Tamandua tetradactyla: one gene and its partner. The protein of the gene in region 1 binds, or shares a complex with, the protein of each later gene. Links are inferred from orthologs where the notes say so. Each region holds a gene or a part of one and is shown on either strand. Other genes may lie near its edges. The genes, in order: SIRT5 and PRDX1.

Evidence for each region.
Region 2: the proteins of SIRT5 (region 1) and PRDX1 are in contact, whole or in part, in a crystal structure (PDB 8Z54), measured with the Homo sapiens proteins. The link is inferred for Tamandua tetradactyla from reciprocal best matches to the Homo sapiens genes SIRT5 and PRDX1. Residues at the interface, in NP_001363727.1 of Homo sapiens: Ala86, Tyr102, Arg105, Gln140, Ile142, His158, Val220, Val221, Trp222, Phe223, Gly224, Glu225, Asn226, Leu227, Leu232, Val253, Val254, Tyr255, Pro256; in NP_001189360.1 of Homo sapiens: Phe195, Ser196, Lys197, Gln198.

What each region holds. Positions count from the first base shown.
Region 1 is NC_135351.1:16,647,687-16,656,706, reverse strand, and holds the start of SIRT5 (NAD-dependent protein deacylase sirtuin-5, mitochondrial), read right to left. Parts: upstream 4,096-9,020; 5' UTR 4,075-4,095; coding exon 3,998-4,074; intron 3,953-3,997; exon of another isoform or gene 3,925-3,952; intron 1-3,924. UniProt on the Homo sapiens protein: NAD-dependent lysine demalonylase, desuccinylase and deglutarylase that specifically removes malonyl, succinyl and glutaryl groups on target proteins.
Region 2 is NC_135328.1:177,773,114-177,781,980, forward strand, and holds the start of PRDX1 (peroxiredoxin-1), read left to right. Parts: upstream 1-4,990; 5' UTR 4,991-5,096; intron 5,097-5,492; exon of another isoform or gene 5,493-5,622; intron 5,623-7,326; 5' UTR 7,327-7,337; coding exon 7,338-7,443; intron 7,444-8,867. UniProt on the Homo sapiens protein: Thiol-specific peroxidase that catalyzes the reduction of hydrogen peroxide and organic hydroperoxides to water and alcohols, respectively.

The DNA of each region.
Region 1 (9,020 bases):
GCCAAGTTCACTCAATGGAGAAAGAATAATTCCTTCAATAAATGGTGCTGGGCAAACTAGATATCTACAAAAAAAAAAGAATGAAAGTGGATTCCTACCTTACACCATGCACAAATATAAATAAAAACAGATCAAAGAGAAGAACTAAAACTATAAGACAACTACAAGAAAACATAAGGGAAAGATCTTTAGGATTGTTAGAAAATGGATTCTTAGACTTTACACCAACAAAAGAGAAAAGATTAATTGCACTTCATCAAAATTAAAAACTTTTGTAGAAAGGACATTACCAAGAAAATGAGAAGACCCCCTTCAGAATGGAAGAAGATATTCAGAAAGAATATATCTAATAAAGGTATAAAATTCCAAGTATATAAAGACATCCAGCAACCAAACAACAAAAAGATAAAAACCAACTACAAATGGGCAAAGGACTTGAATACACATTTCTCCCAAGGAGATACAGATGGCAAATAAGCACATGAAAAGATGCTCAACATCAACCACCATCAGGGAAATGCAAATTAAAACCACAATGAGATACTACTTCACACCAACTAGAATGGCTATTCAAAAAATAAAATGGAAAATAAATGTTGGTGAGGATGTGAAGAAATAGAAACCCTCTTACACTGCTGGTGAGAAGGTAAAATGATTCAGCCACTGTGGAAAAGTTTGGTGGTTCTTCAGAATGTTAAAAATAGAATTATCATATGAGCAATCTCACTTCTAGATATATACCCCAAAAGAACTGAAAGCTGGGACTCAAACACATACATTTGCACCCAATATGCGTAATGGCATTATTCACAATAGCCAAAAGGTAGCAGCAACTCAAATGCTCATTGACAGATGAATGAACAAAATGTGGTACAATATATATATAATGGAATACTTTCACCTGTAAAAAGAAATGACTTCTGGTACATCCTACGATGTGGATGAACCCTGAAGACTTCACATTGAGTGAAATAAGCTAAACACAAAAGGAAAAACATATGATCTAGCTCATATAAAATAACTAGAATATCCAAATTCATAGACTCAAAAATTAGAATACAGGTTACCAGGCGCAGGAAGAGGGAGTGAATGCTTAATTGATACAGAGTTTCTGTTTGGCATAATGGAAACGTTTTGGCAATGGATGATAGTAACCATTGTCCAATACTGTGAATGTCATTAACACCACTGAATTGTACAGCTGAAAGTGGTTACAATGGGCAATTTTAAGTTTACCATCATAAATTAAAAAAAAAAAAAAAACCACAGAATTTCATAACACAAAGAGTATGCCCTAAGGTAAACAATTAAATAGCACTGCTTCATCAGTTGTAACAAAGGTATCACACTAATGCAAAATAGGAATAGGAAAAATTGCATATGGGGCATATTTTAGAAGTTTATACTTTCTGGGCGATTCTTTTGTAAACCTACAACTGCTTTAATTACATAATATATATGCACACACACATACATACACACATTTTTTAGAAGGACATTTTGGGACATAAAAAATTGGAACATATATTGGGATTTTTACTTGGCAAAATCAGGAGTTGTATTATCTGGGTAAAATGTTCCTAGTTTGTCACCTGGGTTTTTCTATTTAAGAGTTTTCATTAGTACGTAATAATTACTTTCATCATAACACTTGTACTCAAAGTAATAAAATAGAATAAAATTTTACTTATTAATGTTTCAATATTTCCAGAAACCACTAGATTCTAAATTCTTTGCCTAGGAAATACAATCAAGAAGTACTTTGGGGGAAGATAACTTTAGTTCTCATCTTACGTGAATTGTAATGTCTAATTACATACACACTATATGTGATTACATAAATACTTATGCACATAAATATGTAAAAGGTAGTTCTACCTTCTTCTGCACGCTTACAACCCCGTTGGAGTCTAAAAGCAAATGCTGGACTAGGAGGGAAGGCAGGACACTGAGAAACTGGAAACTCAGATTATCTAATCCAGGAGTCCTCAGGGGTGAAAAGAGCCCTGGACCTCTCCCTCTCTAAGTCAACTCGAGAGATAAACTCACTACCCTCCCCATTACATGGGACATGACTCCTAGGGGTCTGGCATCATAGGACAGAATTCTCAGGACGAGCCGGGACCTGGCATGATGGGATTGAGAAAGCCTTCTTGACCAAATGGGGGAAGAGAGAAATGAGACAAAATAAAGTTTCAGAGGTTGAGAGATTTCAAACAGAGTGGAGAGTTTACCTTGGGGGCTATTCTTATGCATTACATAGATAACTCTTTTTATAGTTTATGGTGTATTGAAGTGGCTGGAGGGAAGTACCTGAAACCATGGAGCTGGGTTCCAACAGCTCTGATTCTCGAGGGCAATCGTATAACTATACAGCCTTTACAATGTGACTGTGTGATTGTGAGAAACCTTATGTCTGATGCTCCTTTTATCAAGGGTATGGACAGATGAATAAATATATATGGATAAAAATAAATAATAGGGGCGATAAGGGGTAAAATAAACTGGGTAGATACAAATACACTAGTGAATGAGAGGGAGGGGTAAGGGGTATGGGATGTATGAGTTTTTTCCTTTTATTTCTTTTACTGGAACGATGCATATGTGCTGAAAAATTATCTTGGTGATTGTGGTAGTTAGATTCAGTTGTCACCTAGTTCTGGTGCTGTGCACATGAGCCAATGGTACGTGAACCTCATCTGCAGCTGATTACATCGGCAGTCGGCTAGGAGGCATGCCTGCTGCAATGAAGGATGTTTGACTTAACTGGCTGGTGCTTAAATGAGAGAGCTCAACACAGCACAGGCCAACCAGCTCAGCCCAGGCCTTTGGAGATGCAGAAAGAAATCACCCCAGGGAAAGTTGTTGGAACCCAGAGGCCTGGAGAGAAGGCCAGCAGAGATCACCCTGTGCATTCCCACGTAAGAACGAACATCAGTTGAAAGTTAGCTGCCTTTTCTCTGAAGAACTAACTAAATAAATCCCCTTTTATTAAAAGTCAATCCATCTCCGATGTGTTGCATTCCGGCAGCTAGCAAACTAGAACAGTGATGAATACACAACTATGTGATGATACTGTGAGCCACTGATTTTTCACCACATATGGACTATATATGTATGAAGATGTGTCAATTATATATATATCTTTAAGTGCCTGGGTAAAGTCACCAGTTACTCTGCCTTGATTTCTTTTTGCATGGGCAGACACCGGGAACCCAACCCGGGTCTCCAGAATGGAAGGCAAGAATTCTGCTTCTGAGCCACCATCAAACTGCCCTCTGCCTTGATTTTATACTCAGGGTAAGAAAAGACGCTTCTAGGGAGGAAATAAACTCATTCACTGTCATTGGGAACTTTCTGGATGCTGGACAGGCACCTGTAAACTGACTCCTCTGTCTTAAGGGCAGTCCCCTTTTTAACGAGGTTTTCTTACACACCTGAACCTCACCTTCCAAATTAGAAGAAAAAAGCCTGTATGCTCCCTGTGTGGGAAAAAAGGGCCACTCTAATTCTGAAAACAAAGCAAAACAAAAAAACAGTAAATCAAAGATCATGTCAGGAATTTGAGAAAAATTTTCCAGAGAACATTAACTTAAACTACATGGTAATTATATTGTAAAGGAAATGCAAAAACTTACACAACTCACAGGTATTCAACAGATACATTTTGCACACCTATGAGCGGAATGCAGCGCTTGGCACCAGCCCCAGGTGTCTACCCTCAGGAACTGACTTCACTCCCTCCCCCGGCCCCCCTACCTGCCTTGGTCAAGGTCACCAGCGACCTCTACGTTACTAAACCCAGTGGTCCATTTCCAGCCTCCGACTTGGTCATGAACAGCCTGTGACCCAGTTGGTCCCTCCTCCGGGAACACTCGCTTCCCCTGGCTGCCAGGCTCCAGCCTCTCCCGGCTTTCCACCTACCTCCCTGGCTGCTCCTTCTCGCGTCCTCGGCTGGTTCATCCCGCCCTCCCCTCGGTCCCTGCGCTCTTCCCACCTGAGGCCCGCACGCCGTGGCCCCTCCTCCAGGGCGCCCAGGGCTCCACGCGGCCACGCCCGCCGCCTTCTCCGCATGCCCCCTCCATCGCCGGGCAGGCCGCTACTGCACGCCCCAGCTGCCCCACTGCACCCCAGCCTCGCCCTGACCTCGGCTCACGGCACATGCTCCCCCTCCACACCGCGGCCCGGGCCCGCCCCCTCTCCCCCGCCGCCCTCTCCAGCGGCCCGGGCTGCTGCAGGGGCCAGAGGGGCTCCCCTCAAAGGGCAGCCTCTGCTCGGCGCTCCCCGGGCTCCCCTGACCCAGCAGCCCCCCACGCCCCCCTGCTCGGGCCCTGCTACGGTCTCAGCTCGCTTCCTGTCCCCCAGCCCCGCCGGCTCGGCGGCCTCCCCTCCCGCGCCTCTGGGCCGCCCGCCGCCTCTGGCCCCTTCCGGGCCCTGCCGGCGGGACCGAGCGGAGGGCCCACCCCGGAGGTCTGCGCGGGCAGCCACGACCCTCCGAGCCCAGCGGCCTGCATGGAGTGAGGAAACACGCAGCCTGCCGAAGCTCGCGGCGGGCTGGGACCCGCGGCCAGGGACCCACGCGGAGACGCACCTGCGTGAGGCGGCAATGGCGGGCCCGAGCCCGGAGGGCCAGGCGGGGGCCGCGGGGCGGAGCGCACCCAGCCCGCCGCCCTCGGCTGCAGCGGCCCCTACCGGCGACCCAGACCGTGTCTGGGCCCGCAAGCCGCGGGAGCGATTCCCGTCCCGTTTTATTGAAAGATCAGTTTTCTTTCTTTCTTTGGGGGACGGGAGGGGTGGGGTGAGCCGTTTCTCGCTTTGTCTTTGAGAGCTCCCAGGTTTCCCTTCTCACCACCGCTTCCCGCGGATGTCGTGAATTACGAATTGCTCCGTTTCCTCCTCAAGCTAGCGACTAGATCACACTCAACTCCGGACAAAGCATTTCAAATGTTGGGGTTATTCCCCCTCATTTCCCCCCCCCCCCCCGTAGAGCTGTTTCAAAGGGTGGTAAGTAAGGTTTCCAGGCTAGCCCAGCAGACCTCTCTAACCTAATGAAGCTCCACGTGTCTGGGTCCCCTTGAAAAGTCGGTCCCCTTTCCTTTGGTGCAGGTCTACCGCCAACACTATTTTTCCTGTAATTGCTTTGGGCCCACCAATGGACCAAAAGGGGAAGTGTCCAGAAATTAGGGTGCCAACAATATTACATTAACTTTTTTTCCCTAACTGTAACCTCAACATTTGCAGCAGTTTGGCTGGAAACCCAACCCGCTTTGGGACTCCGTTCGCTCCTCTAGGTTGTACCAGCGCCCCAGAGACTAAGGATATTGGTGGCACTATCATATCTGGCTATTTTCCCTTATACATACAGGTGCTTACTCTGTGTTAGACACTATTCTAAGAACTTGACATGTATTAAGCCATTTAAATCTCCCCTACTACCTTATGAAGTAGTTACTGTTATCTCCGTTTACAGGCCGGGACACTGAAGCCTAAAGAGATCAAGTCCTGCCTAAATCACAAAGCTATTAAGGAGTTAAGCTGGGATTAGAGCCCGAGTGTTTCAGCACCAGCCATAAGGGTCCAAGCCAGCACGTATATTGCCTTTCATTAAAGTGTTGTTCCATTGCTTTCTTTGCTTATGTTATTGGCCATCAAGTGTTCATCCCTTAGCCTAATCACATACTAGCCAGCACCTTTCATTGCAGCCTTCCATAGTCCACAAGACTAAATAGTAGCCCTGTTTACTCATAAGCCCTGCCGTCTCTGAGACATTCTGTCGTAGTCTAGGAGTCCACCACCCAGTCATCACACCATGATTCCACCCCATCCCTTCTCCCAGGCTTGCAAGAGCCAATTCTCCCCAGCGGTGTCAGGCTATTTTCTCTTCTTGAAGCATCAGCCCCCAGCCTTTCCATCTTTCAAGCAATTGCAGCTTAATTTCTTGATGGCCTTGCGTTTTCAAAACAAAGGTTTCAGCCCTGAAATAACCTCTCCCTCTCCCCAAATGCTCTTTTCCCACTCCCTTCTCTTACCCTTCCAGTCTCCGCTCAATGGTCACTTCCTCAGAAAGCCACACGCACCCCTCCACTAAGTAAACTCTCTCACCGCTGGTATAGACTTGTACAGCACCGTAGCAGTTTTCCTAGTCGAGATTTCAAATGTATTTCTCTGATTACGTGTTCCCCATACACACCCCAGGTTGTAAGATCCCTTAAGGAGAACTTCTTGTGCCTTTTTATTTACTATCATATTCTCAGCTCCTCACAATCCATACAGTAGATGGCTCAGTTAGTAAGAATGTATTAAATGAATGAATGAATAAATGAACAGCTTCACAGGAGAAGACACCCAGAACTTAGAGGATAATGATTTGGTTATGTTTACTAAAATGAATAGGCGATTTATCTTTTTTATTTTTATTTTTTTACTTATGAGCCCACAACAATAAATAATAAACAAAGAAAACAGTTTATGGATAATTCATTCTATAAAGGTTTTCCTGGGATATAACAGTAGGTGCTATAACAGTTTGAGGCATGTAAATTGGAAGGTAGAATTACCTCCTTTTAATGAAGTTCAGACGGGCCAAGCTTTATTTCTGCAAAGAGAATCCCCATCCCATCCACCCCCCATCCTTAGTTTTACATTCTCTTTGGGTCACTGGCTTAATGGGTTACCATGCTTCCCCTCAGGGGTGGACTCTAGTGCAAATATAGACCTCTAGTGTAAATATAAAAATGGACATAAGCACCATGCTTGGTGTCTTTTACTGTCTGATTTATTTTGACACATAGGGAGCAAGAAGGTTGAAACTTTCTAAGAGTTTTTGCCTAACACAAAGGAAGAACAGAAAAGAAAATCAACATCTAGATGGCAAAACTACAAGAGACAATTTAGAAATTGTGCAAAAATCCCAGCTCCGTTAGATTCTGTGTCCCGGCTTCATCTTTCCATATGAAGATACCCTGCTCCTCCCACACCCATCCATCACAGGAGAACAGCAAGATAGCAAGGCTCTCTCAGCACACCTTCTCAGATTCCCTAGGCTCCCAAGGGAGGCCTGAGGGCTGGTCAACCCCAGGAATGAGACCTGCCGTAAGATGGGTTCTGGCACACACTATCGAGGGATGGTTGTGCTCGAACCTCTGTTGGCGGATCAGTACGTTTGCATATAATACATACCCAGACTATTCCTCCAGACCTGCTACACACAGCACCAATGTGCTCAGCACGTACTTACATAAAATAGGCATGGATAACCGAACTTAGTGGCGGTGGATAGGAAAATAAAGATTGCAGGTGTTTGCACGCTCTGGGAGGAAAAGGAGGATGTGAAGAAGCAGCTGCATCAGAGTCTGGACCAGGAGCCACCTCGCCTCTCAGTAGTTGGATGGTTGTGAGGGACTGGTGCCCATGCATTTAATGTCCAAGAGCCCTGACCTTCCATTCTCATTGTCTCAGTTTACCAGAGCTGCTATGAAAAATACTATACCATGGGTTGGTTTAAACTGCAAGCATTTGTCTCATGGTTTTGAAGGCTAGAAATCCAAAATCAAGATAATGCCAGGCCAGGAGTGATGCAAATGTTCTAAAAAGGATCATGGTGAAGAATACACAAGTCTATGATGATACTGTGAGCCATTGATTGTATATATTGTTGGACTGTATGTGTGTGGATATTTCTCAATAAAAATATTTTTTAAATAATAGGGGAATATAAGGGAAGGGGTATGGGATTGTTTTGTTTGTTTTCTTGGAAAAAATGGGAATGTTCTCATATTGATTGTACTGATAAATACATAACTGTGATTATACACTTGATTATACACATATAACACTGAGTATACACTTAGGATGGATTATATAGTGTGAATAAAATTTTAAAAAAAAGACAATGCCAGGCCATGTCCTTCCTAGGGTTAGCAGTGTTCTAATGCTGGCAATACTCAGCCATATGGCATGCTCTCTCTCTTCTCTGGCTTATTCTGACTTCAGGTTGCTTCCTCTGGCTTCCCCTGGCTCACTGCATCTGAATTTCCTTTTTTCACAATGGGTTGACACCCTGTTTTGCTAAAGCTGCAGAAATGCAATATACAGAAACAGACTGGCTTTAACAATGGGGATTTATTAACTTACAAATTTACAGTTCTTAGGCCATGAAAATGTCCAAATTAAGGCATCAAGAGGAAGATACCGTCTCTGAAGAAAGGCTGCTGGCATCCAGGGTTTCTCTGTCACATCGGAAGGAATATGGCCAGCTGGTCTTTTGCTCCGAGTTTCATTGTGTTCAGCTCCTGACTCTGATGGCCTTCTGAGTTTCTGTGGGTCCTCTTTTAGCATCTCCGGGGCTTTTCTCTCTAAGCTCTCTGGGCCTTTTCTGTCTTTTATCCTCTCATAAAGGACTCTAGTAAAGGATTAAGAGCCACCTTGAAAGGGGTGGGTCACATCTCAGTTGAAACCACCTAATCAAATGGTCCCACCCACAACAGGTCTACACCCACAAGAATGGATTAAAACAACATGGCCTTTTGTAGGGCACATAACAGCTCCAAACCAGCACACACTCACAGGTATGTGGATTCAGACTTGAGCACCTCTTTTGTGGGGGATTTGATTCAATCCCTGACATTTATGTTTATAGTATCCAGTATGATGTCATTTGTTTTGTTGGTTATAGTTTATCTTTTTGAAGATATTAAATGGAAGAATAACATGGTACCACTCAAAGACATTTTTCCCAATTGGATCTTTTCACTTCCACCCTGACCAGCAGACAAAGCTTTCCATTTGCATACCCCTCCCCTCCCCACCAAGTACCTACAGTTCTCTATCCTCACTGGTGTTAACCACTGAATGGAAGATTGTCCACAATTGGGTAAAGGGAGGAAAGAGTTAAGTGGCAAAGTTCCTTGCTTGAGGACATTTTTCCTCTGAGTTTCTTCTATCTTGCTCCTTATTCTTCTGGATACTTGAAAGGTAAGGTTCAAATTCTTACCAGGCTCCAAAGACTGACTCTTGTCATT
Region 2 (8,867 bases), on another chromosome or scaffold:
ATTGGAGTCTCTGGCTGAAGTGTTTCTCTAGTATCACCTCAACAAGCAGGGGGACAGTGTCTAAACCCTGAAGATTGAGTTTATGGGGCAACAAGCCTGTTCAGTCCACCCTGCCTGTTCTCCCCAGATGACAAATACTAGTGACACCGAATCACCATCAAGAAGCGCTTCAAGGTGCTCATGACCCAGCAAACACTGCCTGTCTTCTGAGGGTCCCTCACATTTCATGTTTCTTTAGTTGCTTGCTATGCCCTCAAAATCTTTCCTTAAACAAACTTTTCAATCTGTGAGACCTGAAGCCCTGCTTTACCATCCTTGCTCTCTGGAATCCAGTTGCACTGCCTCTGATCATGCAGTTAACAACCATGTTAGCATCTCTTATAATGGGCAGTGATTCATCTTGTGAATCACTGTTGGGTTATTAAAGACAAAATTATTTAAAAGAAAGAGAATCCAGTCTATGAGAAAAACCATAAGGAGGTTAAAAAGAAGAGATGGAATTGCCCCCAAATGTCTCTTGCTGGGATGAAAGACTGGGTACTCAAGAAGGCAAGCTTCCTCAGAGCTCAAGAAGTGGGCTGTTGAGAGCTAAACCAAATAATTTTGCATGAAGATGCTACAAATAAAGGCAAACATTTTGACCAACCCGAAAATAAACTGACAACAAACAAATAAATAATACATAGCTATCCTGAGACATCTACTTTTATACTCATATTGAATGGCTTTACCTGTTAGCTAATCTGTTCTGATAGGAAGAAAGAACAATGGCTGTTGATGAGTCAGGTAACCTACCACAGCAAATTAGCACAAAGATGTAACAACTGCTTTGTTAAGCAAAAGCCAGATGATGTCAAAGGACATTGTATGAATAAAGGTTTCACTAATCTTAAACAGAGAAAAGTGGTAGGAGAATTGAGTCATTATCACAGGGTGAAGGCAGTATATAGGTATGTGGAATCCAAAAGGAGCTACACTGTATTCATGGAAGGTATTTGCTCGCAGAAATCTCATCTTATATATTTCATCCTGCAATAGTTCAGCAGTAGTAAGGGCAGGAGCAATTAACATGGAAATAACTTTCCATATTGTATCATGGGGCAACCTATTGAATAAATGGTTTGAATGAAAAATTAAAATGAAAGTTAATTAAATTTAATCAATTAAACCAACATTAGAAGTCCTCAACAATGTTTTTCTTTTTACAAGGGACCACATTACTCCTGTTTGAGAAAACTACCTTAAGATAATAGATGGAGGGAGCTAAATTCTATGAAGAACTGGGCTAGGAACCAGTGCTTTGCCCAGTGAATAAGTTATAGTCGCTTGAAATGGGCAGAGAAAATTATTAAAAAGCCTCACTTCTAAGAAATAGAGCAAAACAGGATTTATGCAAACATTTTCTCAGTAGCTGCCCTCACCTCAGGCAATTCTTCCTAACAAAGCCCTACCCAAGTCCCTCATCAATCAACAACTTCATTAGTTTTTTTTTTTTTTTTAATTTAAAAGATTTTATAGGAAATTTAGTAAATTTCAAACTACAGTTTTTTTTTGTTACCTTGTTTCAGGTGCAATACACTTCAATGATGATGGCGGTTACTAGAGGAAACAGTAATTATTCCTGGGAGAAACAGTTTATTTTCATGACTGGCACTTTGCCATAAAATGCTGTTCTTTTTTAGCTGTTTTTGTTCCTTTGATCTTTGATTGTTTTTGTTCCTTCTCCCAACCCATAGAAATTCTCTGTGGTTCTGGTCTTGGATCACTTCTTTCCACTTCTCAGGGACCTCATTTATTCTCACAGTTTCAAGTATCCTTGATATTGTCAGAATCAATATAATTATTTATGATGTCAGAATCAATATAATTCTTTACGTTATTTAACAAATCCTATTGTACTTACCATGAGCCAGGAATCACGCTTCTAAGTATTAGGGGTCACATGAATACAATAGGAAGGGTTCCTTAAGTTTCCACATATCCAACCGACATGTCTTCTTGGCCATTTCCTCATGGAACCCCAAATTCAACATGCCCCAAAGTGGGGTCTTTATCATCTTCCCCCAAATCTGTTTCACATTTCTGTAAATTGCACATCTCTTCATTCAGTTCCCCTGGGACTCACTCCCTATAAATGATTCCCAGTTCTTGCAAATTGGGAAAATCTGCAGTTCTTGCAAAGTTCTTGCCACCTAATCCCAACTTTCCACACTTGGCACACTGCCTTCACTCAGACTTTCTACCTCTTTTCTCCTAGTCCTGGTAACAGCCTGCTTACTGGTCCCATATCTTCTTGGTCCTCTAAATCTATTCTCTATGCAGCTGCCAGAATGATCAGTAACAGAGCTTGATGTGGACATTCTTATATTCAAAACTCTTTAATCACCCACACCTCCTGATATAAAATCCAAACTCCTCAGTCTGGTTTATGAGGTGCATCGTGACCTGTTTCTGCCCACATTCTTTCCTCTACGTTCTAGTCCTTGGCATTTGCATTCTACTAATATTGAACTACCAGTAGTTCCCCAAACACATACTGTTTCCTATCCTGCTCTGTTCTCAGCTTGGAACCCCTTTCCCTGATCTCTCTCTCCCTAGCTAGCTTTTTAGAGTTCCTTCAACATACATCAGTATTCTTATTCTTCTTTGATGTCTGATGACAAAGCAGAGTGTTAAATAGAAGCACAATGAATGTGTTAACTCAACTTCTGTGCTGTTGATTTGCTGATTCTCAAATCTACATCTCCAATGACAATCTCTGGACACCACCACCTGAATATCCTATAAGCATCTGAAATGCTGTTTGCCTCAAACTAAACTGATTATCTTCTCCTTTAAGAGTAGATTTCAGAATCATACCACCTGTTTAGACCACTGTGAGCTGTGAGGCACAATGCTAGGGGACACCTTTACATTATAGTTCATGTAAATATTCCATTTGAATATTATGCAACCCGATGGTTCTGCTACCCAGGTTAGAAGCTGACTTCAATGGATGTTAGCTGTGACCTTGTACAATTTCCCAAATTTCTTAGGCATCAGGTGCCTCATCTGCAAAACAGGTAGTACTCAATAAATGTTTGTCATTATTTTTAACCTAGAACCTGCGTATCCTCCAATGTCCCCTATCCCATTGGTTAATGGCATCACCCTTGATTATGTTGCCAAGATAAGAAACCTAGGATTTAACCTACCCCTTCTTCTTATCTTAAATCCTGTAGAAATAACCCTTGTATATCTTCTCTGCTTTCCATCCCTGCTGCCAATACCCTATGATGGTTCTGAGTCTTCTCTTGTCTGAATCTTTGCAGTAGCCTCTTAGCTGTTCTCTTTGCCTTTATGTCCTAATTATTAAGTTCACCCATCACACAGCTGCCAGAGCAATTTTCCTAAAACACAGTTCAAATAATTTAATTCCACATCCCCCAAATCTTCAGTACATTCTAATATTTATTAGGCAATTTTCCCATGCCATTTACTGGCTAGGTTCTGGTACTACAAAGACAAATAAAACAGGAATAGTCCTTCCCAGACAGACTACTAGTGAACAAACGAGGACAACATAATGAGATATGTGTCAAAATAGAGCTACAGATATGTATCAGGTCCTGTAGGAGGATAAAAGAGAAAAGCCTCTACCCCATTTTGGTAATTTTACTATTATCTGGGGAAGGAGATTCCATAAACATACATACACAAGTGTGCAACAGATTTTTTCTTTTCTCAGAACTATCCTCCTATTTAAATTTTTTATATAACCAAGGGGTTGTTGATCTTTCCTTGGGCCTAGATAACCCTTTTGGCTCTTTTTATGGGGGTGGGGTGGGGTGGGGGGTAAGGAGGTGCAAGGGCCAGGAATTGAACCCAGGTTTCCTGTATGGCATGTGAGAGTTCTACCACTGAAGTACCTGTGGACCCCACTCTTTTGTTTCTTAAATGAAACAAAATAAACCCAAGGGCCCAGCCCATGGCCTGGTGCATGGTGAATACAATAAATGGTCATTTTCTTCTGGCTGAAGTGTGGCTGTGTGCTTTTGTTTAGTCTGATCATAGCAATAAACATCCAGCATTAAGCCCAAAACAACTCCCTCCCCTACGGCCCCCCACCACTGAAAATGAGTAATGCCAAATAATTGCTCAGCCTTGGAGAAAGAAAAAGTAACTACAAAAATCATTACTTTTGCAAGGTAGGATGAAAAATACCAAAAAAATTGGAAATGCTCAGCCAGCATGACACAGCACTTCCCATTTCTTATCCACGCTATAACTCCAAGGGAGTTAATAAGATGGGGGAGGGGTAGAAGCCCAGAAAAGGGGACACTAGATTATTTATTAAACACTGACTGACTGAGTTCCTCTATCAGGTATTGTTGTGACCTGGGGACACAGAATGGATGTGATCCAAGTACACTATCCTCCAGAAAGTCTAAAAGCAAAAGGAAGCTATGTAAACAAGTAAAACAGCTTAAAAGGTTTTTCCCCCTCCTTTGATACATGGACTATATTGCTTGGGCACAATGGAGGGAATATCAATTCTGGGGACGACCAAAGTTTAGGAACAGCTTCAGAGAAGGTAAAACTTGAGCTAAGTCTTGAAAGACTTTTTCTCTGGGCCAGTTAGGAAGCAACAGGCTCTTCAGGCTTGAACAAAATTCTAAAGGGTTGCAACAGTTCACATCGTTCAGAATTATAATTCAGGAGGACTAAGAGAGTAATAATAAATAATAGCTAACGTTTCTAATGTATACTAAGAGCTAGGTACGGTGATAAGTAATTTACGCAGATAGCTAATATCAGTTAATCTTCACAACAATACCATGAAATATTAATATTACTCCCAATTTTGCAGGTCAGAAAAAGTGAGGGTTAGCAGAATTAAGAATCCTACCCCAAGGTCACACAAAACGATAGTAGCTTTAATTCAAGGAACTGACTACAGAGCCCCAGTTTTTTTAACCACAAGTCAGAAGAGTGACATGATCAGATTTCACAAAGATTCCTTCCAGCCGCAGAGTAAGGGATGCATGGGAGATGGAAAGCAGCAAGCCTGTGATCTGGGTGAACGACGAAGGAGGGTGTCTCAAAAGTTAACAACGGTGAGGAATCTGGCAGAAGCTTCGGGGACCGAGACGGATTTGAAAAACATTTAGTTAATGTTCTCCGGGCTTGGTGAGGAACTGCCTTGGTCCTCCGTGGCAGCAGCGAGGACTTTTAACCAGGTTTGGGCCCTGAGGGCACAGCGCGCCGGGGTTCCAGAAGCAAGGGAATTGCACCTACCTCCCTATTCCCGCCCCGCAGACATCCTAAATTTAACGAAGGCTTTTGGGTTCCGGGCGGACGAGAAAAGACCACGCTCTCGCACATCAACAATAAACGGCGGGAAAAGGTGATTGATGGTTTCCGCGCTCACACCGCCCCCGGCAAGGAAAATGCTGAGTCATTCTAGCGGGGTGGGGGTGGGGGGCGGGGCGCAGGGCAGAAACCCCCTCCTTATCTCCTCTTCTCGCACCCCCGACCCGTTTCGACTCTCGCGAGAGCCTCACAAGTTATATAGACAGCGCCCCGCGCGGACTTTGCGCGTCCTCTTCCCGGCTGTTCTGCGTAGCTTTCTTTGGGTATTTGGTGAGTAAGTCCACCGCGTCCTCGGTGGGGCCGAGCGTCACTCACCCCCCCCACCCCACCCCACCCCCGCCGCCGCCTCCCCTTCTCCTTGGGGCTTGCACGGGCTCCTCTGGAGGTGTTGTGGTGGTTTAGGCGGCCGGGGGAGAGCCTGGCGTCCTACGATCCTCGGGCGACATGCGCACCTCCCACGTGGGCCCCCCCCTCGAGGGTTGGTTGAAGATGGAGACTTTCGCCGGCTCCAGTATTCGCTTATTCCGAACTGGGGGCGCTGGTTGGCTTGGAGGGGCGGGGTGTGTAGTGGGGCAGCTCTCCTCGACTGGCCTCCCGAGGGGCGGGGCGGGTTCGGGAATCTTCTAGAATGAACCTGGAACCTAACCTGTGGCTGCAGAGGGCTGCCTTTTCTTGTTGGTCGTGTGGTAGGGTAAACGCCATTTCCTGCTCTGAGCTGTGACTTGGCTGTGGAGCCTTGAGTACCTTGCATCCCTTTTCGTTCATCATGTTCCCATCTGCAGAGTGAGATGTGTTTTAGATAATTCCACATGCTGTCGCTGAAGACTGCGCACTCTTATGCTGGAGCTTTCCGAAGTGGATTTAGGGGTGTGGCCCTGGCCTAAGTTATTGGGCAGATCCCCTGAGGGGGCTGCACCGGTGGGAAGTCGAGCAGCCTTTACCCTTCGGCTGGGGGTGGGGTGGTGGGGGCGCACCTTCAAAAGTAGGTTTGGATGAGGCTATATTTGTTAGGGTCACACCCCGTAGTTTGGTTTCCTATTTGCAGCGAGCCTTACTGTTTCTTTGAAAGGGTGTTACAAGATTAAAAAAACAAAAGAAAAAACAGGCAGTAACAAGTGTCCCATGGTCGATCCTCGGCGTTCTTACCTAGTTTCTTTTGGCTCTCTTATTATGAACCAAGAGCTTCAGGACCTACTGGAAAAATAGGGTCTTGGGACTTTCAAACAGATAATTTGCTGGGTTGAAGCTTATCCTCATTATCTTGGTGTTGACCTGGGTAAGTCTAGTGCAACATTGTTTTTTATCAGTGAACTGGTTTTTGCTCTACTTACTTTCCCCCCATGATTTTGGCCTTGAGGTCAGAAACCCACTTTTGAAAGGACTTCTAGGGCTAAACAGAAGACAAGACCAAAATCCTGGTCTTGCCTCTTAAAAAGTCAGGTTGGCTTTAAGGTGTGGATTTGACACACTGGCCTAGGAAACAGTTCATTCGGGCTTCACGCTTTATGAAGGCACGTGGAGGCAAATTCTGGAGAAAGGGTAATATGACCACGTTAGACATTCAGTGTGCCATTGTCCATATAGATTCTGGTTTGAGGGTCTGCACTTCCTTTTCTTTGCTTCTGTTCAGTAATGCAGAAGAAATGCCATTTCATAAATTGATGGTTCAGAAAAAGTGATAGGGGTGACGTCAACCTATAAAAAAATTATTGTTTTAAGTGAAAACAAAGACTGAGATTCAGACTTGTAATAACTGGTTTGTTCCAAAAGCGGAAAGCTCAGATTCTGGTCCTTCCATTGTGTCCCCTGGCTGCTGGTTTGTTCTTTAAAAGAGAAAAACAAACAATTAGTGCATGTATCTAGAGCCAGTGGATAATTCCTTGCTTTTTCTGCAGCTAAATCCCTAAGTAAATGAAGGCTGCTGGTTTAAGTTTGTTTCTGATTAATCCATTTTCTCTAATTTGTCTTTTGCAGCTGATAGCAAGATGTCTTCAGGAACTGCCAAAATTGGGCACCCTGCCCCCAACTTCAAAGCCACAGCTGTTATGCCAGATGGTCAGTTCAAAGATATCAGCCTCTCTGATTACAAAGGTAAGAGTAGTTACATTGGACTTATTAAAATGGAATTATTTTATAATTTAGGGATGGCTAGTTGGATTTCTGTATCTCTGTTATACTCAGTTGTAAAATACTTTGTATCTCCTAGGTCAAGGTGCTTAAGTGAAGTGATGATCACATGATAAACAGTGATCACAGGGTAACTATCCTAGGTCTAGGCATCTGCTGGAGAAAGCACATGCTTCATTATGTATCACATATTAGCTCAATTTGATTTCTTAGTTACTCTTTCTTAATTGTGTAATTGGGGAAAAATTATCATTATTAACTCATTATAAGAGGCTTTCCACATTTTAAATTTGATTGCATCTGGACCTTTAAGTCTATGAAGCTGTGATACTACTTGTTCAGTAGTGATTGTAAAATGTGTGTCACAGCTGCTACATTATTAGGCAGAGGGCTGAGGACCAATCCCTTCACTATTTTGCCACCAAAAGAAAAGCCGATGTCACAGAACAGTTTCCCTTTCTGTTGTCATAGTTTCATGCAGACATTTGGCAAACTCGAAAGAGGTTTTCCATTTCATTGTCGTGCAGTCCCAGAGCATCCAAGTCTCCTGGGATAATTGAAAGTATAGATTAGTTAGAATGCAAACCTGAAACTCAGTTATCATGTGTACCTTTTTTAGTGGTATAGTGTCAAGTCCTGAAATCATCTTTTGGGTAGAATATGCTACTAGGTTTCCTAATACATCATACTTGTTGGTTGTTATGAGAGCAGGTAAGTAGAGTTCTGTGGAGGGAAGCTCCTCTTGGCAAACAAGCTAAGTAGCACTAGAGGGAGGTGACACTGTCCCATGAGTATAGGCATGAAGTCTAGGAGGAGCTGTTCTCTGCTTTTCAGGGCTCAGTCTTCCCTGGCTTCAAAGTGCTTGTTAGGCGGAGCCCTGGAGGGGTTGCTTAGATGAGTCAGTTTGTAGTGATTTTACTTTTCAAAGTGAATGTCAAAAAAGGCCTCCTATTTTGACTTCCAAACAGTGCTGCTACCTGGAAATAAGTGAATAGGTGAATTGAGTTGCTCCAAAAGCTCAGTCCATCAGGTGTGGTGAGAGGCTGCTGGCAAGTTTGAAGATCTGCTTCAATTGGTAGTCTAAAGGACTTCAATAAAATTCCAATTAGAGGTCCTGTTACCTACCAGGAGTTTTAGAACTTTAGTCTTATAAGAGTTAGTGCTGTCAGGCTTGTAAGGAAAGAAGTTTGTGGTGGTGATTCAGGTCCTTACCCTTCCCATCACTGTGGTTCATCTTGGAAGGAAATGCAAAGGCTCTGACTTCTCTTGTTGGTCCCTTAATCTCCTGGCAACAGAGGAGAACCCAGCAATTCAGCTTTTGCTGAGTACTTTTATTATTATTATTTTTTTCCAGTTTACATGGAGAAGTTTTGCTACTTTTTTTTTTC